Linked DNA regions of Danio rerio. Each later gene encodes a partner of the first gene's protein in a complex. Links are inferred from orthologs where the notes say so. Each region holds a gene or a part of one and is shown on either strand. Other genes may lie near its edges.

The links.
Region 2: tctn1 (region 1) and mks1 share a complex: the UniProt entries of both Homo sapiens proteins name them as parts of the tectonic-like complex. The link is inferred for Danio rerio from reciprocal best matches to the Homo sapiens genes TCTN1 and MKS1.

The regions. Positions count from the first base shown.
Region 1 is NC_133185.1:8,983,247-8,987,079, forward strand, and holds part of tctn1 (tectonic-1), read right to left. Parts: intron 1,672-3,833; coding exon 1,553-1,671; intron 1-1,552. UniProt on the Homo sapiens protein: Component of the tectonic-like complex, a complex localized at the transition zone of primary cilia and acting as a barrier that prevents diffusion of transmembrane proteins between the cilia and plasma membranes.
Region 2 is NC_133180.1:61,446,327-61,450,259, reverse strand, and holds the start of mks1 (tectonic-like complex member MKS1), read left to right. Parts: upstream 1-990; 5' UTR 991-1,205; coding exon 1,206-1,282; intron 1,283-3,550; coding exon 3,551-3,672; intron 3,673-3,933. UniProt on the Homo sapiens protein: Component of the tectonic-like complex, a complex localized at the transition zone of primary cilia and acting as a barrier that prevents diffusion of transmembrane proteins between the cilia and plasma membranes.

The DNA.
Region 1 (3,833 bases):
GGGGCGTAGGGTAATATGGCTGTGGCAAATGAGAACATGGATTGATTGGTTGTAGTCCTGTTAAAAACAGTTCAGTGTTGTTTCCTTTAAGAAACTTGGTGTTAGCATCAGAATAAAACAACAGGACAGCTGTGTGCCCACCGATGTAAACTTCTGCACATATGAGGCTGAGTTTACCCACAATGTTACATAGGAAAATTGGTGTATTCAACAACTTGTTGTTTAGGCTGATTGAACTCAGTATAAGCTGTTTTTAAACTAATAAGCAAGGCCAGAAAGAATCTGTGGACATATTTTCTATTTCTGTGCAGAATTTTGTAAAAAAAAAAAAAAAAACATGTGGATTTATGTGGAAAGATTTTGAGAATGCAGTGACTACAAACTTAACACATTAAATAAACTTTTATTTAAGGTTTGCAATGCAATAAGAACCACTTGTTTGGTGAGTAAAGTAAATCTCTCATATAATGTTTACTAAAAGACAAAATATTACTTTACAAACTGTTTTGTGCATTTCAATATAATTGTAAAAACATTTGAATATTATTTAATAATGTTACTGAAACTAACATAAAACCTTAACAAATATAGAGTTGAAGTCAAAATTATTAGCCCTCCCTAATAAAAGTATTTTCCCCTAATTTCTGTTTAACAGAGATTTTTAGAACACAATTCTAAACATAAAAGCTTTAATAACTATATTCTAATGTCTTTTTATCTTTGCCATGAGACAATAAATAATATTAGATATTTTTTCAAGATACTAGTATTCAGATTAAAGTGTAATTTAAAGGCTTACCAGGTTTATTATGTTAATTAGGCAAGTTAGAGTAATTAGGCAAATCCTTGTATAACAACTTTTTTCTGTAGACATTTTAAAAAAAGTTGCTTCAGGGGGCTAATAATGCTGACCTTAAATGGCTTTAAAAAAATAAAAACTGCTTTTATTCTAGCCAAAATGAAATAATAAGACTAAAAAAAAAATCCTGTGAAAAATTCCTTACTCTGTTAAACATCATTTGGGAAATATTTAAAAAGATATAGAGGAAAATATAAAACAAAAATCACAGGAGAGCTAATAATTATGACCTCAACTGTGTATCGCATTTACAGAAGTAAATAAATAGACTCAACAATGAGCTAAAAATCTTGCAGAGTGAGCTTACTAATAAGAAAGTCTGGAGTTTTTTCTGGATGTTTTTATGACGTCATATCGTCACCTTGGATTTATAAGATTCTATCTGCGTTCTGAATGATTTTGAGATATTACGCTTTAAAGTTTCTGCATTCCATAGCAAACAGTATGTGTGTAACATTTGCTTTTTAAATAAAAAGTCTTAAAATTTAAACAACTTATAAAAAACACCCCATAATGTAAATAAGTTGTCATTTAAAAAGAATATATGAATAACTCAATTTTGACAAAAATGTCAGATAGAACCTTTTTTTAAATATTTTTAAGTTAGGTATGACGATATGTGACGATATGTGAAAAACTAAATTTTGATTTCTCATTTTATGACATCTTTATTTAAACATAGTCAAACTTTACCCGGTATCCTGGTAAACTTCTCACATCAGGTGCACTGCTCACATTTGAACGGCCAAAGACAGAGTCAGCATTCTGGTCAGTGGGAACTTCTGGTGTGGCAAATGACAAGCCTTCTTCATCTTTAAAAGGGATGGGGATGAAATGGAAAAATGATTGAAAACATTTGAAAGTGCACAGTTAACATTAACACATTTCAACCTGTGCTTTTAACACATTTCAACCTCACATTTTAATTAAGAGATTGCTGGAACAGTTTGACCTCAGTAATAACTTGGTGGGCTGGATCCTTCATTTTTTAACTAATCGAACACAAAGTGTTAGAGTGAATGGATGTCTATCTGATAAAGTTTGCTCCTCAACCGGGTCCCCACAAGGATGTGTCCTTTCACCTTTGTTATACATCCTTTACACAAACATGTGTCAGAGCAGGTGGGAAAATAGAACGATTATCAAGCAGGGTTCAACGCTATGGATTTTTTCTACTGGTCTAATCGGGCCAGTGGTTCAGATTTTTACTTGCCCTGCCAAAATTTTCACTCGCCCCACCAAAAAAAAAAAAAACATAGGAAGTTAATAGCTATTTTTTAGCCGCATATTTTAAAAAATGTGTCAAAAATAAATTCTAAATCTAGAATTTAATACTTAAGAAATTTAATAAAAGTGTTATGCAAACAAAAATAGTAGTATGGAAAATGTGGAAGCATTTTATTGCGGTTCAAAATTATTTAACAAAAGATGGGCTGACTTGTCAAACTGACGGCAAACTGTGCAAAACATCACTTAATTTTTTTTGTCGCGTTGTTCTCTTGTAAATGTCTGCCTTCAAGACATTAGAAACAGACATTTTCTTTTAGCCTTATATTTTGATGTTGCCGCCATGTTGCTGTTTCTTCTCTGTACTGGTTGTTACCAGGGGCCTCATGTATCAACGCTGCGTACGCACAAAAACTTTGCGTACGCCAGGTTTCACGCTCAGAACCGCTCACGTTTGGATTTACTAACAATGAACTGAACGTGGGAATGTGCGCAGCTTCACGGCAGCTTTCTGGCTGGCGTACGCACATTTTTTGTGCGTGTCTGTTTTATTTCCATTGGCGACTCCTAGAGGCAGTTGTGTTAAATTGCATTCTACAAAGTGTCTTTGAGCCATGCAATGGCAGCTGTATGAGACGGGTTCATCTAGCAGGTATATAAGGTTTCCATACCACGTAGTTGACCAGCTAAACATTAAAGCACAATTTGCAGTGGTCGCCTGTTTTCCCAATGTAATCTGAGCTCTGTAATCTACTGCACGCACATTGCTATAAAGACACTATCTGAAGATGAATTTGCATGCGTGAATCAGAAACATTTCCATTCAATAAATGTGCAAATAAAATATGATGCACAAACTTATTGATGATTCATACTTGTCTTTCTCGTGATAAAATCTGATATGTAGCGGACGAAAAAGAAGAAAGAGTTCATAAGACGCTGGATTCGAACTGAGTTCATGCTCGAACGTGTCAAAACATGTTGACATGCGTCTTATGAGTTGCGCCACTGAGACTGTTACAGGTATTGCAACATTTTTCAGATATAAACCACATTATTTCTTTTTTTAATGCACTCAGTGCGATGTTCAGACCCAACTGTGTTAACCGCATCAGCTAAACTCTCCCACTCTATTTGTTTCTTTTGTTGTTAATTCCGGAGAACAAACTTGCAAATAAGACCGCTTTTCTCCGGTCTACCTCCGAAAGCAGCACCTCCATTTCACATTCTGTTCCAAGTTTCTCTTTTTGCTTGCTTTTGCCATTGCTTTTTCGTTGGGTTTTAACATTAGCATAGTCATTAGCATATTCATACGGGGGAGGAGGCGGGGAGGGGTTTTGTGCTCGTGCATGTTGCGCTCAGTTTCACGTTCATTCGGATGTACAAAAGAATATGCGTGGGATTCGGCGTACGCAGTGTTTCATACATCTGGGGCTTCATGTACGAAGACTTGCGTGGAAATCTTACTAAAACATTGCGTACGCACAAAGCTGTAAATGTGCGTACGCAGAAAAAAATTCAGATGTATGAAACACTGCGTACGCCGAATCTCACGCATATTCTTTTGTACATCTGAATGAACGTGAAACTGAGCGCAACATGCACGAGCACAAAACCCCTCCCTGCCTCCTCCCCCGTATGAATATGCTAATGACTATGCTAATGGCAAAACCCAACGAAAAAGCAATGGCAAAAGCAAGCAAAAAGAGAAACTTTGAACAGAATGTGAATTGGAGGTGCTGCTTTC
Region 2 (3,933 bases), on another chromosome or scaffold:
TTTTGTTGATTTGTGAATTTCATTTCTGTTTGTGGCAAATGTTTTTTTGAGTTTATTGGAGGAAAATTTCTCGTCTGACCTTAAAACAAGGTCTCTTCGATAGAAGAATGATCTTGTGCAAATTTGCTGTGCATAAAATACTGGTGTGAAATACAATTCATTCAGCCCTACAAAACATCTTTTGCTTGTTTGGCTGGACACCTGGTACACTCTAATACTTGTTTTCCACACTTGCATATTTGCAACTGATGAATGTTTAAAAAAAAAGAAAAAAGAAAAAATGTTTCTTTAAAAAAACAACGTAAACAAGTTGATTTGTTGGTTTTAGATTCGTTTGGCACTGATGTAAAATTGGTTTTGAATGTACACATTTGTTTACGGTGCCTATATTTTAACCCACGTTACTTTGAATATTTGGTCTGAATTAGCATGCAAGTACACCTTTAAAACAACATTAGCTCTAACCTTATTAAACTGACTGTGAACAACGTACTTTGATACTGGCTGCTAATATAATTTCCTCGTTTAAAATTAGCAAATGAGACATTTCTGATGAAAGGACAATCTCTAAATGTGCAAATACACCATATTTACCCCAGTCCGTTTGGTTCTTGTCATCTGGTTAGGCTACAATACACATTTAGAAATTCGAGCTGGTATAGTCTGGCAAACTAAGGAGGTCAGCTCAACGCAATATGTTTATTTTAAATGTAAGATTCCTTTTCACTAAAAACCTCAAAACATTTCAAACAAAGCAAAAATGTCTATAGTTCCCAAGTAAAATGCGACATAAGGAAACTAAATAATCGACCGTGTTTAACAAACATGTGGAACAGCTTTCAGTTTGTTGCCAGTGGGTGACAGGAAAAGTAAATGTGTTACCGCTTGCAGATCAGTAGTGAGCACCGGTCATTTATCAGAAGTTCGATCTCAAAGCAGCACAGGCTGATTTGAGAACAGCATATGTTTGCCAGTACTGAGCATGCGTGCATATGGCTTCCGGCCGCTTCCGTTTTAGATTGTTACTATGCAACAAGACGCTCTGATGTGTGGCGTTAACTGTTTTCAGCAGTATTGCATTCACGAGTGAATTATATCAAAACATTTTAAGCTGCCTTAGTCTTGATGTGAGTGTTTTTATAGTAACCGGTGGGAGTTCTACACTATATGTGAAGACTTTTATCTTTTGACGCTGTGTGTCAGATATGGCTGACGGCTGGTGCTCTGACAACGGAGAATCGGTTTACCGTTCCAGGGATGCAGTTAAAAACTTCCGAATACGGTAAGACACGTCGCCTGTGTGCATGTATAACAAACTGATGTATATATTTTAAAGCATTATGAACTATTTTGGACACGGTACTGTGGTGTTGTTTTGGAAGAGCTGTGAAAATACCACAGTAAATTAAAGGGATAGATAGTTCCCCTAAAACTGAAAACTCTGTCATCATTTACTCGCCCTGCTTTTTTCAAACCTTTTCTTTAAGTTTCTTTATATTGCTGAACACAGTAATTCTTCAAAATAGCTTCTCTTCTATAAAAAAAGAAATACTTGAGGCTGAGTAAATACATTAGAAATTGTATCCCTTTGAAAACTATCCCTTTAAATTTTACTTATTTCTATATTATATCAGAGTAACATTGTATTGCATACATCATTACTCTGTGATTTTGTTTAGTTTAGTTTATTTCTCAGTGTACATTAATCATTCACCTAGAACGTAAATATACTTATATTAACCCAAAGACTAGTTTTCATTATTAAGGTAAAGTTGGTTTTATATTCACACATTAATTCAGTGACAACTTGTGACACATTCCCTGCATCGTTTACTACGGCACTTAGAAGATTCGTTCTAAAATAACCTGCAAATGTGACTTGAAAACAACATTACACTGTTTATTTGACTGTGAACAATGTTGTACTTTGATAGTCATTGGCTGCTAATATGATTTCGCTATTTAGAGTTTGCAAATAATACTTTTATGAAATTATATTAGGAGAAAGTCTGAATGTGCGAATATAAAACCAACTTTACCTTTATGTTTTCATTGGTAGTCCCTTTGCCAGATGTTAAAGGCCATACCAATAAAAAAACAAATTCAACTAAAAACAAAACTCAATTAAACAACAGAAAACAACCACAACAACATCAAAAAGCCCAGTGTTCAAAATATTGAATAATAATAAGAAAATTTCTAAAAATGATACTCAAAAAAATCACAATCTCTAACAGATTGTGGTATCTTATTTCACTGATGGGATGCTTTCAAAGAAAAACAAGCTTGACCAAAACAAGTTTTTTAAGTTGAATAGTACAATCAGCTCTATCTGTACCTCAAGTCTTTTGTTTTCTACAGATTTAAACTAGAAAAAAGTTTTACGCAGCGGATGTCCTTCTTGCTGCAACCCCTTACTGGGAGACATCCATATACACTCATTCACATATATACACTACAGACAATTTAGCTTGCCCAACCAATTCACCTATACCACATGTCTTTAGACTGTGGGGGAAATAAGAGCACCGGGAGGAAAACTACATCAACACTGGGATGGGGAGAACATGCAAACTCCACACAGAAATGCTAACTGACCCAGCCAAGACTCAAACCAGCGACCTTTTTGCTGTGAGCGATTGTGCTCCCCACTGCGCCACGGTGATGCCAATCTTTTAAACTGCACAACCATTTTTAAACTTGATTTTTTCCCAACCAAGCAGGCTATGGTTTTTTTAAATATTGAAAAAAAAATTTTTTTTTTACTAAAATCTTTACTAAAAAATTCCAAAAGAAATTACTAAATTACTAAAAAATTACTAATACTTTCCTTCTTAGACTTTAAAGACCTGAAACTTGCCTATAGCACTTATTCATTGTTGCTCTAACAGTTGTGTAAATTGCTTCCTTGTCCTCATTTGTAAGTCGCTTTGGATAAAAGCGTCTGCTAAATGACTAAATGTAAATGTAAATAGTACAGTGTTGAAAACTAAACTTTTTATCCAAAATTTGTTGTTCTTGTTTATATAATATTTATATAGTTCTTTTTATATAATAATTCGAAAGGTTTCAAAACTGTAAAACTTGTTTTTGTGTTAAACCAAATTATCAGACAATTCATATGAGAGAGGATCGTAGAATTTATATACATTTTTGTAGCCTTATTTGATAAAGAATTTCCAATAAACCTAAAATTACCTATATTCAATTTGACCTTGTTACATACCTTTTTATATGTGTTTTAAAACCAAGACAGGAGTCCAGACAAACCCATAGGTATTTACACTCTGTGACATCTTGAACTTTCTCTCCTGAGATAACAACATCCTGTTTTGTTTCAATACGCATGTACTTCTCTAAATGACATGAAGCTATTTTTGACACATTTAATTTTGTGAAACTGCAACTGTTTTTTTGTAAAAGTTTTCACAATGATTCTGTATAATAACTAAATCAATAGTGCTGTGTTTACATGGTATTCAAACATTACTAAAACTAAGCCACTGTAAAACATTGTATCACCTTGTTACTTTTACTGTTTCTGTTTCAGAGTGCGCATTCAGCGTGTGACCTCCACAGCAGCCCTGTCTGAACACCTCCATCAGCAAGTGCTTTCTCAGCAGGAGAGAGGAGTTATAGAGTTGGAAACCTTCAGCACTCAGACGGCCTCCTGTATGTCAAAGACAGATATTAACCTGATAAAGGGATGGCTCACACAACAATGAGAATTTGCTATTTATTTACTCACTCTTTAGACCTAATTCAAATGCTTATTACGGTTTAGATTATTTTCTTACTTTTTAAAAAATACATACAATATATATTTTTAAATATCTATTGGATAGAACAGTAGAGAGTGTAGAGTAATCCATGGGGAGCAGAGAATGGGGAAGAATTAGTAAAGAACCTTGAGCCAAGAATTGAGCAAATCAA